4 linked regions of the Drosophila melanogaster genome follow. The protein of the gene in region 4 interacts with the protein of the main gene of each other region in a pairwise test. Each region holds a gene or a part of one and is shown on either strand. Other genes may lie near its edges.

Evidence for each region.
Region 1: the proteins of CG15080 (region 4) and CG7730 interact in a two-hybrid assay, tested with the Drosophila melanogaster proteins (one large-scale study listed by BioGRID).
Region 2: the proteins of CG15080 (region 4) and Setd3 interact in a two-hybrid assay, tested with the Drosophila melanogaster proteins (one large-scale study listed by BioGRID).
Region 3: the proteins of CG15080 (region 4) and Cpr100A interact in a two-hybrid assay, tested with the Drosophila melanogaster proteins (one large-scale study listed by BioGRID).

The regions. Positions count from the first base shown.
Region 1 is NT_037436.4:17,025,892-17,030,352, forward strand, and holds CG7730 (uncharacterized protein), read left to right. Parts: upstream 1-1,623; 5' UTR 1,624-1,777; coding exon 1,778-1,878; intron 1,879-1,936; coding exon 1,937-2,816; intron 2,817-2,874; coding exon 2,875-3,026; intron 3,027-3,087; coding exon 3,088-3,700; 3' UTR 3,701-3,923; downstream 3,924-4,461. Other genes in the region: Fit2 (fermitin 2), read left to right, coding at 1-914; Ilp8 (Insulin-like peptide 8), read right to left, coding at 4,152-4,393.
Region 2 is NC_004354.4:6,965,742-6,970,530, reverse strand, and holds the start of Setd3 (SET domain containing 3), read left to right. Parts: upstream 1-1,780; 5' UTR 1,781-1,938; coding exon 1,939-2,807; exon of another isoform or gene 2,808-4,738; coding exon of another isoform or gene 4,739-4,789. Other genes in the region: CG4586 (uncharacterized protein), read right to left, coding at 1-513; CG14431 (uncharacterized protein), read right to left, coding at 4,739-4,789. UniProt on the Drosophila melanogaster protein: Protein-histidine N-methyltransferase that specifically mediates 3-methylhistidine (tele-methylhistidine) methylation of actin at 'His-74'.
Region 3 is NT_033777.3:30,865,869-30,869,703, forward strand, and holds Cpr100A (cuticular protein 100A), read left to right. Parts: upstream 1-1,652; 5' UTR 1,653-1,803; coding exon 1,804-1,815; intron 1,816-2,038; coding exon 2,039-2,286; intron 2,287-2,349; coding exon 2,350-2,815; 3' UTR 2,816-3,316; downstream 3,317-3,835.
Region 4 is NT_033778.4:18,781,619-18,786,334, forward strand, and holds the start of CG15080 (uncharacterized protein), read left to right. Parts: upstream 1-1,680; 5' UTR 1,681-2,060; intron 2,061-4,716.

The sequences.
Region 1 (4,461 bases), on a different chromosome or scaffold from region 4:
ACTATTTGCGTTACTTGAAGCCGCAAAGATTCACGCTGCGCGGCTATAAGCGCTACTACTTCACCTATCGGGATCTGCATTTGCATCTGTTCAAGAACGCCGAAGATTCGCGACGTGTTGCGCCTGCCATAAGCATTAACCTGAAGGGCTGCGAAGTAACTCCGGATGTAAACCTGTCCCAGGGAAAGTATGCTATCCGGCTGGAGGTCTCTCCTGATGGTGGCCACGGTATCAACAGTGAGGTGTGGGTGCGCTGCGAGAACGAGCAGCAGTACGCCAAGTGGATGGCTGCTTGTCGTTTGGCGGCCAAGGGAAGATCCCTGGCGGATAGCTCGTACGAGAGTGAAGTGGACAGCATACTCTCGCTACTGCAGATGCAGCGACCCGCACACGGAGTTCATGTAAACATCGATCCTCGCTCTGTGGAAGCAGTTGATTATCTGTCGCCCAAGATCATCCGCAAGTTGTCGAACAAGGCAGTCCAGCGGATCCTCGAAGCACATGCCAACGTTCGGGAGCTGAATGCTTTAGATTCAAAACTGAAGTACATCCAGGCATGGCGTTCGTTACCTGACTTTGGAGTAAGCCTGTTCATCATTAAGTTCGACGGGCATCGGAAGGAGGAGCTGCTCGGCGTGGCCCACAACCGCATTATGCGCATGGATCTGAGTTCGGGAGATCACATCAAGACCTGGCGATATAACACCATGAAGGCGTGGAACGTCAACTGGAACATAAAGTGCATGATGATTCAGTTTGAAGACGAGAATGTGGTCTTCTCCTGCCACTCAGCCGACTGTAAAGTGGTGCACGAGTTCATCGGTGGTTACATTTTCATGTCCATGCGATCCAAGGACACCAACCAGACCCTGAACGAGGAGCTTTTCCACAAACTTACCGGCGGCTGGTCCTAGTACCATTTATTGCTCGATTTTAATGGCAGGCAGTTTCAATTGTTCGAATTTTGTTAAGATAAACCACTGTTTTAACTGATAACCAACTGATAGACTCACAACTTCAATGCAATACATGTATTTAATTTCACTTTATTTACCTTTTAACTCGTTGTTAACTAATCTTGTTGATGATTTTTCACCACGAAAATCGCTTGCCAATGGCCTTTTTGCCTGCCCAACACCTAATTAGACTTAACCGTGGCCTTAGCAATGTTTTTGTATAACTAACTCTTAAGTGTATATTTAAATAAAAATCCCATATTAAAATTCAACTATTGCTTGGGTATTGGACTTTTCGGGGACACTAGTAGATTTTTTGAGGTTAAAATATTAAATTACTGAGGTCAGTAAAGGTCATTAAAAGAGTAATTTACTGATAGTCCAAAAATATTAAACTTGTTCAGTAAAACATGGCAATTAAAAGTTAAGTAAAATAATTATTAGGTACCAAGTGGATCAAAGACCAAGGAAAACTGTGGATCGCGAAATAAGTTTTAATTTAGAACTATTACTACTTGAAAGAATTACTATTGATTGAAAAAGTTTTGAACCGAATTTCTATGGCATTAATAGATTTGAGATTTAAAATAATATTGTCAAAATGTATCATTTAAAATTACGCGGTATCGATTGATAAACTTATATCGTGAAGCTTAATCGATTAGCTCTCGATAATTTGGCGCCAGCTTTGTTGAATTGTCATGGAAACGAAATTAGCATTTCGACATTGATTTCCCATTAAAATACAGTCTCTAAATTAAAGTAAGTATATTTAACTTGGGCTGCAGATCAAAAGTGCCAGATTCTGCAGTAATTAGGATATGGAGAAAACGGAAAATACTAAAAATTCTCGCACCACCTACGAAGTGCAAAGGGATTTTGGCTTCAGCAGTGGGCTGCGTTCGGAAATTATTTGGGATTCGTATGTTATGCAATTACTTAAATCATCGTACCTGGCTAAACTATATTTATACCCACAGACTAGCCCCGGATCAGGGTGATGTTCTAAAGCAAAAGATAGAGAACCTCATTCGCGATGATGACGCCCGCAATGGCAAGGCGATTCAACGAAAGCGGGAGCAGCTTTTCCGGAATATTTGGCAGCAGCGCTGTTACACCAACGGCACATTGCTCTCCGCCATAATTTACGTGCTAGTCACGCCGGATACAGACCCGGAATCGGCGCTGCAGTCTACCAACTACTCCTGTCACCCGGTTTTTCGCACACGGCGCTGTTTGAAGGGCGAGAACAGCGCCGCTTGTTGCATGATTTTTGTGGACGAAAATGCACGGGTCTACGCCAATTGGGAGCAGTTCGTCTTCCGGAACACCTTGCCCAAGGGCTTGATGATCGCCCCTAGCCAAGGAATTTACACATTCACCGGCGACGAGGAGCCGGGCGTCCAGTTGATGGTCCATCCAACGCCAGCAGCACGTGCCAGGTATAAAATTCTGAATGCTGGCGATAAAGTCGCCACTGTTGGTAGCTTGGTGGCCAGTGTTCCGGCGGCTGCAGCTTTGGCTGTGCCTCTGGGCGCTCCGCTCGCGATTGCCGCCACCGCTGTGGGCGTGGCCACCGGAGTCTACAGCACCCTGCGCTCTGCCTCCCATCTTATCGATCGTCGACGGCACGGACAGTCCACCTGCATCACGGATACCGAGGCACGCAGCTCTTGGTTGGGCGTAGCAGGTGGCGTTGTGGGTCTAGGAGCCAGTGGGGCCACAAAAGCTCTGTCCACCGCTGCAGGAGCTGGCTACAAAGTTAATCCCGCTGCGCAGTTAGCCGTTAGGGGGATAAATGGTGCCTCAATGGTCATCGCCGGAACGGGTGTAGCGAATGGTGTTTACGATTTATATTCGGTAAGTTGGATCCTTTAAAAAAGACATTAATTTTATAACTTCGTTTCGACCTCCTCAGAAACATGGAGATGACCAAGCCATAAACAGCTTGGACATGCTGAAGATGGCCTCGCACCTTGTGATATTCACTCATTCCATCAACAATATGCGCATCGCTTCCAAGGCTACCAACGGGTCTTCCTTGAGGCGAGCACTTCGAAATCAATCCAGGCAAGTCAATACCTCCTGGCAGTCACATATATAGTATTCTTCATCATTTTTGTATCAACAGAAAAATCTTTGATCGAATCTCCCAGGAAACAGTTAAGCTGCACAATGAATCTGGTCAATTTGATATTGTGAGAACCCTCAACGAAATCCCTTTTAAGGAGGTACTCCTCAGTCTTCACAATATGAACTCACACCTAAGTCAGGGACTTACAGTGGCCACCACTTTATTGCCCCAAATACTGAGTTACGGCATTGGCGGGCAGATGGTGATCAATATGGACATGCTCGCACAGAAGTTCGGCGGAAAATTCGTTGAGCATATCGGCAATCTGGCTAGCTTTACGGACGTTTTGGAGGCCATGGCCAGATACTTCAGCGATCAGGCTGTACAGCTTCTAATGCAGATGACCCGCACATTCGTAGAGGAGAACGTGGATTACATTGATCGCTCGCTGAATACGTTCGTATCAACTGAAGCGGTCCTCTATCGCATTCTAATGCATTGCGTTAAAACCTTTGATGACTTCGGCGAAGATTTCCTTCAGAGACAACGTGAGGATATTTTGATGGTGGTATCCAAGTACTTTCGATCACTGGAGCCAGTTGGCGAACAAAACTGCCGCAAGTACAAATGCAACGTTTGCAAAGGCGCCTACTATATTAGTTCCATATAAGCTGATTCCATGGTTCGAGCTGTCGGTTTATTAAGTGATTTAGTGATTAATAGATTGTGATACAACAAAGATTTGTTAGCCATCGTGACTCATTTGTACTAGGATTGTAATAATCTTTTAAGCCTTTATATGCGTCTTCTAAACCTAATATGCTGTTAAATTCTCTGAATGTTTGTTTAGTTTTAACTGTCCACCAATTTTTATAAAAAACACTTTAATTCCGATCAGTTGCCGTATTCGATTGTTTATTCAAAATCGATCTAAGTGTATAAATACTGTAAATGGATCTGTGTCCCTGGGAGTGGGCACAAATAAGGTACTCTATAAGAGTGAGCGCGACTTGTAGAATGTACATGAATAGCCTAACTATAACTATGGACGGATTCAGAAGATTCTGACCAGATGGCACCGACTTGGAGCGTGGGGCATGGAGCATGACACTGGAGCTCTCTTAGCAGAAGAACTCCTCCTCGCACTGGTTTAGACAGCAGTAGGGAATGTTGTTGTAGGACCTGCTCGAGTGATCCCTCTTGAAGCGATGCTTCTTTTCGTGGTGCGGCTTGATGGGCTTGTAGCGCGGAAAGATGTCCAGTTCGCTGAGGCGATTGAAGTGCTCCCGGGTCACCTTCAGGTAGCCACCCATTGGATAGCTGCTTCGGCTGATGTAGTGATGCTTGTTGTGCGTTTTGCCGGCTGAAAAGGGGGAAAACGTTGCCAGTGAGCAAATTGATCTTGAACCTGCGCCTTGAAGTCGGTTAACT
Region 2 (4,789 bases), on a different chromosome or scaffold from region 4:
TCGGGTTTCCAGGCCCCGGACAAAGGTGCCGTGACCCAGCTCCGTTTGCGCATAGGTGCCCAGGACGCCGTCCATGTGCCAGGATCGATTGAGCCACTGGGCCTGCTGCTCCTCGGTTCCCTGGCTCAGCAAGGTGGTCATGAACATGGAGAAATGCACCCGAAGGGGGAAGCTCTGCTGGAAGAGGCCCGTGCCCAGGGATCCGGAGAGTAGCAGCCGAAAGTCCCTCAGCATATTCACACTAAGCTGAAGTTGTGGCTGCTTCTCCCGCTGCCATTGGCGCAGTTTGGCCAGGAAGCGTGTGGATCGGGCCACGGTCTGTTCGTAGCGCTCCTTGTATGACAGACAGCTCGGATGCACTGGCTCCGCGAAGTCGGGATCCTCATAGAAACGCCTTTCCAGGGCGCGGCGCTCCTCCAGCTGCCCAGAGCCACCCGCCCACCAGCGGGCAAAGTCCTCGCTGTCCAAGGTGGCCGCCGCCCGCTCTCTCTGCAGATCCGCATTCACAGACATGATCGCTCTATCTCTCCTTCCCGATCTCTCTTTTCCTAGAGTTTTACTTTTCTACGGGATTTCCCAACTTCTCTGCTCGAACGACTCGATTGCACTGAGAAGTTGGTGGCTGGAAGAAACAGTTCTGCAGCTCGAAACATGGCAGCCAGGTCACCAAAGGCGGGGATAGCAGGGGAATATGGTTGGTTATCAGTGATCCGAAATTAAAGATGAGTTGCCAATTAATATACCGGGATTCTTTATACATTTACCACATTATACTCATAAAGGATGCAGTGTATAAGCTATTTATGGATAACTTATACAGAAGAGGCGATCTGGAACCCCTTTGGATGGTCCATCCTGCCTACGCCTTTGGAGCCCCACCACTGCCTCTCTTTCGCGCTCTGCCCGCTGGTGCTCCAACCGCCGTTGTTGCTGCATTGGAGTCACTGAACTGAGAACTGAGCCACTCTCAAATTGCTTGAGCGCCTTAGGGTGGACCATATTCCGTATTTGTCGAAAGTTTCTCAAACTGCGTCTTTCTTACAAGATGCACTTATCATGTTTTAGATTTCGTATCCTAGGTTGTATATTTGGACGGAATTTGTTTCTTACTATTAACTCAAACGCTGATTTGTGTGTTGGTCCACCCTAGCCAAAAATGGCACAAAGTGCGTAAACATCTGATGAGCGGCATTATCTCCTAGTTTTTTAGTTCAAGTTTTTTTTACCGTAGATAAGAAAATCGTAAATATTTCTTGTTGTTTTTGTTTTGCAAAAACCCACAAAGCTCAACAAACAATTATTTCTTTTTCGTACAATAACATTTTTATTTCGTGGATTTCTTGTTATCAACATAACGTTTCTCAATTGGATGACGTTTAGAAAATCTAAGATAACCCTATGGGCCATTGTCAAATTGTTTATAAATAGAAACTAAAAGACATGGAAAGAGCGATTTTATTTATATAAATAAATAAATATATTATTATACATACGAGCTTCTGCAACCTGGATTTTAGGACAAATTCTCAATTTAAATTTCCCGCTCTTCAAGAATGCAACATAAAATATAAAAAAACACTGGCCATTTTAATAACTATAAAGAGTAATTATTATAATATTATTGATGTGCCAAAAATGCAACGTGAATTACAATTTATTTTACAAGAAAACATAAGTTTTGTAATAAAAAAAAGCTTAGGAGTACCCCTATTAAAAAGTTTTCAGCATAAAAGCTCGTCGAATGTGTGACCAATTGTCGGAGTAATTTAGTGGCGCCCGACGAATGGCCACACTGCCGGCCAGCTGATCGCCCGCGTGCAGATTTCTCGACTTTATTTTCCTTATTTGGCTGTTGTTGTTTTGGGCCGCCGGTACCGCTTAGCTTTCTGTCTTCCTCTCTCTCTGTCTTTCTCTCTCGCTCCCACCAACGGCACCGCCATGGGTAAGAACACGAAGCGCAACAAGAAGACAAAACAGCAGCAACAGCAGCCACAACAAAACGGAGTAACTGCATCCGCATCCGGCACAGCAGTCGAGGATTTTGAGGACCAGCAGGCGGCCAGTTCGTTGCCCAGTTTAAACGGCAAAAAGAGGAGCCAACTAAACAAGCTCGTCGAGGAACTGCTTGACTTGGTGGAAAAGCAACCGGCGAATCCCAACGAGGAATGGAAGCAGTACGGGCAGCTACAGGAGCTGCTCAAACAAATCATGATCCTGGAGGAGCCACTCAGCCAAGCAGTGTGTCCGCAGATCAGCGATTCCCCCGACGATCAGACCCGTCTGGCCAAAGTGGAGGCGTTCAGTGCGTGGGCCAAAGATGGCGGAGTTCACAGTGAGGGACTGGAGATAGCCATCTTTCCCGGCTACCAACTGGGTCTGCGGGCCACCCGACCGTTGGCCAAGGATGAGCTGGTGCTCAGCGTGCCCCGGAAGCTCATCTTATCCGAGGAAAACAACTCCGATTGCCGCCTATTTGGCAAAATGACGCAGGCCACCCACTTGAACCTGGCCTATGATCTGGTCATCGAGAAGATCCGTGGCGAGTTCAGCGAGTGGCGGCCCTACATTGATGTTCTGCCTGCCAAATACAACACCGTGCTATACTTTACCACCAAGCAGATGGAGCTCCTCCGGGGCACCGCTGCAGCCGCTCTGGCAATGCGTCAGTGTCGCGTCATCGCCAAGCAGTACGCCTTCCTCTACAAGTACGCCCACACCATGACTGAGCCGAGCACCGGGAACAGGAGCCATCCGGGCGAAAGAGGCCTCTTTTTCACGCAGCACGGACTCTGCTACAAGCTATACAGGTGAGTTTCGATTGAGATTTGGGATTGCAATAAAGGTGCTAAAGGTGCCTTAAAAAAATATCGCTACTTTTAAAGTTTGTTCTACTAAGTTTAAGAAGAAATATGATTCTGTGCTAAAAAGATGGCTTAAGGCCAAGTTTTCTGCTCTGAAGATCTTTTCAGTTGGCCTAGAAATAGAAATATTGTATACCTTTCCGGAATTCCATTTTTAAATCCTGCCCTCGTGTTGATCTTTCCCTAAGTGTGTTTTTCGGTTTAGTTTGGGCTTGTTTTTGCTGCAGAGAGGCCTCTGAATCTGCCAGTTGTCCCACTGGCCATAAATTACATGTTCACTTACAGCTGGTGCTGTTTGTTTTAAAGCGAGAGTAGATGCATATGGCCAGATTGCCCGACCATTGTTGACCTTCCCGTCTGGCATTGTGATCGCATTGTTTTGCCGAAGATCTACGATCTATTTACGGATCCGCTTCCACTTGCGACGGCTGGGTCATGGTGCACTGGGATGGGTCTGGTTGTGGTTGTGGTTCTGGTTCTCCACTCGCTTCTGTATTTATAGTGCCGCGATTTCGACACCAATCTTCGGTTGTGGTCGAAAACCCCAGCGAGTCATGCGGTTAGTCAAGTGCTTTCGAAATGCTTGAAATCTTTGCCACAATTTGTTCTACATTTTATTTCTCAAAAAAATCAAATTGAAACTTATTTACATACATATTTGAGCGTGCTTAAATATATAATTATATTTATATATATAAATATATATATATATATATATATACTGTCGCCAGATGTTCTACTGCCTAGTGAGAGGGGCGGGGGTGGTAACGAAAATCAAATCAAAAATAAAGTGCCTGCACTACGAAATAAATACAGGTGTTTCATCTATTTTCACTTCTTGGTTTTTGCAGTACATTTTGCGCATTTAAAATATTAGTGTTGTTGTTGTTGTTGCTGTTGGTATTGTTGTGCTAATGACCACGCCCACATAGCGCCCATTTATGCCTTGCCTTGATCTAAATTCAATTAAATTTTGGTATTTTAGTCAGTGCCAGAAAGAAGTTTGCTTCAGTTAAATCGTATCGAACACAGTTTTCTTCATTTTCTTTTGGTTTTTATTTATTTTGTTTTCGTAATTTCCTCATTAATATTTATTGTCCTCATAAATGGTTTTATTTTGCTTTCTCGAATTTCAATATTTATTCGATTTGGGCCTTTTTTTGGGAAAGTGTCTGAACACAACTGTACCTTGTTTGGCTAAGATCCTGTTCTGTTGTTCTGTATTTAAGTTAGTTTTCGTCTTTATCTCGTGCTAAGAAACCCATTTGAATGCCGTGTCCTATGATTTAGTTGATAGAGTCGCGTTAGTTGATGGATCATAATCGTACATTAGGTCTAGATAGTTGGAAACGATAGTTTGCCGAGCTTAGAGACTAGCAACAGTGCGCGCCATAAACGTAGGGCGGATTGAACTAGGTTTTGCGGTCTACAACGATACAAATGAATCAGAAAATAAATAAAGTAAAAATAAATAACATAAAGTGGACTATACAGTTTACATTCCAATCTGTCATGAAAATATTTAAAAATGAACACTATTCTTTTTAAACTGTATGTCTGCACAATCTTTTTGAACCTTTTCTTACAAAGCGCCTTATGGCCATGCCACGCACTGTCTAAATGTGTTTTCTAGGTTGGTTTTTTGTTAGTTTTACTTTCTCTCACAGAATGTTCCTCTAATCGAGTTCAAAAAAATTCCACCTCCTACCTGCTTAAACTAATTAATCGACTAACTTTTGCTCCTTCGCGTTAGAGTGTGTATGCTTGTGTGTGTTGGGGGGATGTCATTGTGTGTGTGTGTGTGTTAAGTGTACATTTATATAAAACTTGGCCTAAACAACGGTCTATTGTTACTAGAGGAGCCTACTGCCTATTGCCTAATTGTCGAAGGATTTGCGCAGTGTGTCGAATAGATATTCCTGCACCTC
Region 3 (3,835 bases), on a different chromosome or scaffold from region 4:
CGTTCGCACATCAAGTATATATTCCGGAACTATATGCCATAGCTGCAGTTTCCTGTTGTTGTTTGTCAACTGATTTAATTTCCTCCTCCTTTTACCGCTTTCTGCTCTGATCACCGCCTCCTGCTGCGAGAGGGCGTTCTCCGCTTTTGGCCACACAAACAAGACCGCCGGATAATGACGATGGTAATGATGATGGCGATGTTCAGACGATGGCGACTTGCAAAAGGGCAAATAACGGTGTAAATGAGAGTGTTGCTACTCGAAATCTTCGACCCCATGCGGCTACTTTGTGTGCAAGAGTGTGCCGCTGTGTGGAAATCGCTCATTAAAATATGAAAACCCGATTTGCATACATAAATGCTCTAATTCTCTTTACGTTCAATTTTAGGGCTTAAGAAAAATTCTTTAAAATTAAAATGAATATCGATATAGATAATGTAATGTTAATTTGACTCTAGATATAAAACTTCAAATAACCAAAGTTGGAGATGCAGACCTGTTTGCATTGTTAGATCATAAATAATGCCAAAAGTTCTCTGCAAACATTACGCAAAGTGGGGGGCGTGGGAGTGGGCGTGTGGCATGTGGGTGGGCGGCCAACTGCTTTGGCCATAAACAAGCCCAAACAATGCCAGACATTTCAAACACAATAAATAATTGAAGCCAGCGCAGAGTCAACAAGTCAAACACATTGCGGTAACACTGGCGATTGTTGCCAAGCGCTTTTGGCCACACCACAAAGTCCAGCTTTTCAGTCCGATCTAGATATAAATCAACTTGGCCATGCACATGCAGAACGCAAATCCAGCTAAAAGGCAAACAAACGGCTTTACAACTTTACAACTTGAAGAGGGGAGTGAAAAGTTAACAACGCTCATTTGGCGAATTTCCCAAGATATGTTCGGATTTTCAGCAGAGGGCGACCGCCCAGTTATCCATCACAATCGACAGTTTCCACGGGCTTTTCACACTGGAAAAATCAAAAAGACAATAAAGACGAGGCTTTTGCCAATTTCTTCCACAGGGTGTTGTAGTTACTTTCTATTTCTGTTTTTTAGCTTAGGCCAACATTATTGGCATACAATACTATTATTCAATCTATTTTATATCCCGTTTTATTTGTATTTTCCATACATTTTCCTTTTTTCCTACTCTTAAACTAAACTATTGCCATTAAAATTGCATCATGCTCTGCAGAACTAATTGGTAATTCCTGGTTTCGATAGATCCCCTCCCAGATGAGGATACCTCTGCGCTGAGGCTGGATTACAGCTGAAAAACTTTTGAAATAATTAAAAAATATTTTCGTCTTGGGCTTGGGCCTGGTGCAGGCAGAAACGGTGGAACTAAGTGCATATAGCATATATTCGTATATATAGAAAGCAAAAGTTGGCGCTCCAAGCGAAAGAGATCGAAACTGGTAAAACGACTTGGCAACACGACCGCGATACCAATACTCGCCCAAAGTTGACTTATTGGAGCACTTAGCTCGATTCTTGTTATTGTTACGCCGACTTGGCCGACTTGTTGTTGCCGTTAACGTTAATAGTACCAACACAATTACATAGCTTGGAGTGCCTAGGCGGAGTCGATCGGCGATCCAGCGATCCAAGGTTCCCGCTCGGACTATAAAAAGCTTGGGCGGCACCGTTGCGGAAGGCAGTTAACTCCACAAATCCGTTGCCGTCGGTCCCATTTCCCTCTTAACCGACTTGTAAGCGTAAAGGCGCGTGTGAATCCCCCTCGAGAAGAAGATAAAATTGTGTGCAGTTTACGCTTGACAAGGATATTCCCCACACCAAAATGTTCAGATTTGTGAGTTGTGTTTTATTCAAGGCTGTTCGAACAATTTAAAAGCTATTAAGAGAAAAGTAATCAAACTGACGGACAAAAGTGTCAATTCAAACCAGGATATTCTAGAGTACACATTAAATAGTGAAAGTCTTACCTTATAATACGTTAAGTGATAATGACTCAGATTAAGGAATTGGCAGCACACAAATACTTGATTGTACAATAAATTTTGAATTCTTGACAGCTTGCACTGACCACCTTGGTGGCCCTGGCTTCCAGCCAGCACTATCACCAGGATCCCAAAACGGCGGCCATCATCAGTGAGCAGCGTTATCTGTCCGGAGATGGAAAGTTCGGAGCTGCCTATGAGCAGGAGGATGGCATCAACTTCAAGGAGGAGACGGATGCGGATGGAACACGTCATGGCAGCTACAGCTATCTGGATCCCACGGGCCAGAGGCGTACTATTTCGTACACAGCTGGCAAAAATGGGTAAGCACTTTCTATAGAACAAATACCCGAACTTGTATTAATTTGGTTTTTATTCCGAAATAGTTTCCAAGCTTCTGGAGATCACTTGCCCCAGGCACCACCTGCTCCACCACAGCCCGTGCCCACAGCGGGATATCAGCCACAGCAGCAGTACCAGCCGCAGCAGTACCAGGCTCCCGCTCCCCAGCCGCAGGCCAGTTTCCGCAGCAATGACTACGGAGATGATGGTTCCTACGATCCCCGCTACAACGATCCCTCTTTCGGACAGAACCAGCAGAGCTACCAGCAGCCCGCTGCCCAGCCGCAGTACCGTCCTGCTCCCCAGCCCGCCTACAACCCACAGCCCGTGCAGCCGCAGCAGCAGTACCAGCCTCAGTATCAGCAGCCCCAACCCCAGTATCAGCAGCCGCAACCCCAGCAGGCGTACTACACCACCACCACCCCCAACCCACACCGCTTTTCGCCACCCGGCAAACTGTCCCTGAACCGCACGCCCGATGGCTTCACCTACTCCTTCAACAAGGTATAAGCCCCACTGTCCTCCACTCAGACATTATGCATCTTCTTCATTAGTAGGGATCCTCTTTCTTCTTTTCCAACTTTCCCTATCACAACTAGAACCCCTACTCTTTTCTTGACTCCATCAAACTCTCGTGTGATATGTTTAAGAGCAATTGTATCGTACTTCCTATATGCGTACTGTTTGTTATTAATTTATAATCCTACACAGAGAAAATTAATCGCTGCTGCCCAATGGGTATTGCTGATTTAAATTACAAAATATATTCAAAATATCATTTGCATATTTTTGAAATATGAAAAAACTCAAGAAATGTCGGCCTTTTTCTCTGTGACTTTCCCATTAAACTTTAATCTTTCCATTTAAGTCTTCCCAAGAAAAGAGAAGTCAATAAACTTCGATGATGTTGAAAAATGATCAAAATTAATTTAGAAACTATGTTAATTTGGGCCTTGGGACGTCTGAGCAATTTGTACTATAATCGAGTAAAAACAATATATGAAGGAAACCAAGTTCGTGTCCTGCAGTCTTTTGTTTTTCGGCCAGTGGCCGCTTATTTAATTTCCAGCAGATTTATCTAAACACCTCGGGTGGTGAACGCCCACTAAATGCGGCATTACACAACCGACTTTCGTACGTGCAAAACAAGTTTCGAGTTTCTGTTACGATTCTATGCGGCCAACAAGGAAAGACCTCAAACGGGTTTCGCTCATTTGACAGTAATCTTGGCCAATTGTGCAAAATTCCGATGAAAATGAAATCAGCCTGGTGTGCTGGTGCTGGCTAAGCCGGAAAACCATGTGCAAGTGGGGGTGGCACTGGTTCATTAGGGGATTGGGGCTCTAAATCAATTCCCAATGGTATTGCGATCCGTCAGGCTCCAGTTGCGTTAGTGCAACTTAATAACATCCAAATGTTTTGCATATTTTATGCACCATCGAACGCAAGAATGCCGCCAGCTAATTTGCTATTTCCTCTCACCTGCTGAGTTCTCAGCATATGTGTGTTATAGTTTACAACTTAATTCGA
Region 4 (4,716 bases):
TGGGCGTGTGAGCCATTTCAGTGAGACACCTGTGAAAAGGTCAACGCTAATTGCCGTCCCCCAACCATTGGCTGCCAATTGAATTCGATTGAATTTGATTCTCTATCTGCGAGGCAGGTGAAAGTGCTTTGTTCTAGAAACAGAGTTGCAAGCCAACTAAATAACATTCAGCGGAAGTTCAAGACGCGAGTCGCGGTTGAATGATCTCCGAACGCCAAGAGATCCCGTCACATAACTTAGGCCATGAGGTGGAAACCTTCCTCGTACGTCATCAGTCCGCACATAACTCACGCCCACCTGAGGCGGCAGGTGAGGCACACGGACAGACAGGTGGGCAGGCGTTATGACAAGTTGACTGATTGGATTTGCGGCGACGATGTTGCTGCTCCTGTCAATGCACTCATCGCCCGTCGCAATTGCCGCTGGAAAATTGAAATTGAAAAAAAAATGCGATTGAAAAGCGTCCGAGCATCTCGTTTGGGTTACCCAATGCATAATGGATAATGGCGGACGCTGAACGATATGCTAATTAACTTGATTTCCACGATCCATAAACGTCTCACTTAGACAATTGTTTGCTTAACGGAAATTGTGCGGCTGCCGGCATGAGAATATTTTAATTGCCCCAAAAGAAGTTGAAAAAGACCTCTTTTTAAGGCCAATTCTAGCAGACCAAAGAAATATTTGGCAACAAGCTGAGCACAAAAATGTATTTTAAACACCAAAATATTATCTGGAAAATATTATAAAAAGATTTAAATATTTATTTCTACCTGCGCTACTTGATTGCAAACATTTCAACCACATATTTAATCCCAATTTCGCACTTTTTGTTATTATAGGTTTTATAAAGTTTGTAACCAATTTGTAACAAAAGAAATGCGGCAAAGGCCAGCGAAGAAAAAATGGTTTCTACGCGTTTTAATTGCTAAATGTCAATCGGTTTATAGGTTTCCTAACAAAACAAACAAAAATACGAGGAAACGCGTACGAGAGAAGAAAAAAAAACCAAAACAAACAATTCAATTAAACTCATAATGGAATTTGTGTAGCAAGAAAACGACCTTGGCTGCAGAGCAAAGCCTAAAAAGCCAATTAAAAGCTAGATGCACGGCTCGAATGCCACATGGCACTGAGTCAGAATTATGGAATTGTTGTTATGTCTGGCCATATAGCCGCACATATACACATATATCACATATATCAGCGAGGGGTGTAGCACGATTCATAAGACCCCCACACAGTCGGATCGATTTTCCCAGCAAATGTGGTAAAAACTTGTCGCCAGCAAAGATTGCAAAACTGGAACAGCATCGCCGCAACTAACGCTAAAACAAGTTAGCATTTATGGCCGACTTGATTTGCATTTAGTGCATTCTTGTGGACACTCCCCCTTGGCAAAACTCTATCCCCATCCCCGTTTTGTTAATTTCAATTAACCACAACAAATCATTGGAGGATCATTTTTAGCTAGGAGCTATACCGCTCTGTTTGACCAAGTCTTTTGTTGGCCCAAAAGCTGTTAAAGCCGCTTTAGTTGCGCCGTTAACGCTGACTGCGACTGCGCTGCCTACTGATCTGCTAACTGCTCGGCCAGCGTCGACTTCGACGGAGGCAGTTGGATGAAAACCACGAGCGAACCACTCTTACTTACTTTGGCCCGCGACGCTTTTCATTTCTTCAGTCTGTTAACGGCACGCCAACGATGCAGACGCGTCTAAAAACCAGCTCCGGCTAACTGTTAACGCAAGATAGTAATAACTTGATTTGTAAGTGTAACACTCATACGCATCGAGTATACGCACAGTGGTACCAACGACATTTGATTTTGCATCTTTTGCCGAAAGTGCGTGAGCTTCCTGACGTCTCAAGTGGATAAAGTCAAAGTGAATTTCAAGAAATCGAAAATATAATTAATATACAAAAATAAAAGTAAAACGCTTGAATTGCTGCTAATTTGGCGAGTTGGGCAAGTTAGGATCTTAATTAAATTAAGCCAAGTGAAAGAGAAACAACAGCTGCCGTTCAGGAAGAAGAAGAAGAAGCAATAGAGGAGAGTGGTAAGTGGGGTTTTTATTTTTTATTTATTTTATTTTTTTTTTTTTTTTGCCAAAAAAGGCGAATAGAAATTTCAGCTCTCCATTCAACTAACCACACACTCAACGCATTCGACTGTCTTGGCAATTTTGCTGTTTATTTTTTCATGCTCTAATTATTTGGAAATTTCATTTTGTTTTTGCCCACCGACACTCGTTAACTGGCATGCAATTTGTTTGCCCAAAGACTTATGGACCATACATCTAACCAAAACAACCGTCCATCCTCTAGAGAGTCAAGTTGAGTCAAGCTTTATGGGCAGACTTCCTCGTTAAAAGATAAGGTGGCCAGACCCCTGACCAAAAGAAAAGAAACTGGTCCATCAGTATTCTGTGGGTTCGTTTTGGGTTTTTCATCTACATCTCTAAGTCTATCTCCATTGCCACTTCATTAACCCAATTTTCACCTGGAGAAATTTTATGTTTCGTACAAGAAAAATCTTGTTTATCAGGCCAATTTGCATACAGACCCCACTTCCGAGGGCCAGACATTTCTCTTCCCTAATCTTCGATGTGGCATCTGATCTTTAACGGAACTAATGTGTACACTTATTCGTTTGTTTGTCATTTTAACATGAGGGCAAACAGAAGAGGGAAATCATAAATTACGCCGTAGCGTCTTATTCGTTTTATATATGTATTTCTTTATTTATATTTATGCGAACTTTGTTTTTTTTTTTATGTGCGAGCGGACAGCGTTTTCGAAATTAAATACTTTCTAATTACAATAAACGCAGGCGATGGCCGCCGGCCGGCCAATTGCCTGTCGCACGTCCAGCAAAGTCCATATCGTAGCCTTTGGCAACGGGCTGAAATCACGTAGCCGCCGCATCGGCCAATGCCAGCCGATATAAAAGAGGGATGGGTTGGCAGCGGAGTGGTGAGGGGGGAAGTGGCGAAACAAAACTCGCGAAAGTGTCAAGAAAATATAATACTGCTCAGACTCACTTTTTCTTTATTGTCATGTCTTAATGTGGCGCCTGATGTGTTTATTTGCCACTAGCCTCCTCCGCCGCCAATTCATATTCCTACCCCTCCCTCACCTTCCTCCGATGAAAGTGAAACGTGCGAATGACTTTGCGTAGCTGCAGAAGCTTCCATCACTCGTCACTTAGCACGTGCCCAGCGATCCTACCCGTGTGGTCTTCGTCTTTCACGGCTTTCAATTACTCAACCGCATAATGTTCAATTTGTCAAGCGTTGAGCCCGGATTACGACTTTCTCAGCGGGCCAAACAAAAGACTTAAGACACAAACTTGCTTCATTAGTTGGCTTTGTTCGATGGAATGCGTTGCAGATCCTAATGCGCACAAGTTTTGGTGTTGATTACTCACGAATTGAGAAATCAATGCAACCATACCTTTGTTTATATTACAACTTAAATTATCCCAGATGATTTAGCCATACCAAAGAGAATTTCAATTTCAAAGATCAATATCGAATATGCCCAGCGGTCTTTCAAAACCATAATTATCTCGCACTAGTGACACGCACTGAATTCTAAATGTGAGTAATTGCAATGCATTCAGCAATATCAGATTCAAAGTGCATTTAAGCGGAGGTAAAAACTAAAAAATCAATTCAAATGGCTTCCAGGCCGGGCATTTATTGCTGGTTCGCTGGAACTAAATCGTGATTTGCAGTTGCATGTACGGCCTCCGTAAGACCCCCTGATCCTCCTTCGGCACCCCTGGAATACCCACACAGTTGATTAGTCAGCACCCGGCTGGTAGAGCAAGGCAACCATTTGGGGCTTTTTGCTCCGTTTTGTCTCTGTGTTTTCCTTCTAGACCGACAAGTTGAAGTATCTTGGCCTACTGAATTTTTTCTCACACTCCGTGTCTTGGTCACGGATGTGGATTGATTGCTAATGTTCATCTGGGCACATATATATCTGTATATATGTATATATATCTATCTGCGGCAGGCGGTTTATGTGGATACCCTCGCCAAGTTGCCGAGTTGCACAAGTCTGGTTTGGTCTGGGCCAGAATGAGGCCCACACTCGAGACGTGGCCAACAAGTACGGGTACTTGTGGCTATACATTTGCCGAGCCACTCTTGCTTTCTTCAGCTGCTCCATTTGGCGGCTGCTTTGTTTTGTCAGCGCTTGCTTTATGGTTTTTCATATATATAGAGTAGCTACTAGCAGCTACCTTAAGTATTGCTCTGTTGCAATTGTCACATTGTTTTGGGACACTTTTCTGCGGCTCAGTGGCGACGACGACTGTGGCAATAGTTTTGTAATTAGCTTGGCCCATCATTTGCGCAATTCGATTTGCGATGTCCCAGGTGATAAGTGATATTTAAGGCACTAATTTCGCTTGTATCCGGTTATCCGGCTTTTATTACGAGTTGCGCAACCACAGCGCCCCCGCATACCAAAATGTCGAGGGAGAAATACTTTCGCTTTCAAATGCTCGAGCATAAATTCTTGGGATTACGCAAGCTAAATGCTTGCGGCATGTTTTGGTTTGCTGAGCAGGTGCCGCCAATACCAAACCAAAACCAAAAAGCCACCTCCACCAGCTAAACAGCCACTTACCTCATTTGGAAAGCAGCGAGAAATGAAAGTTTTTGTTTTTTCATTTTTCTGCGTTGCGTGAAATTTACATTTCGT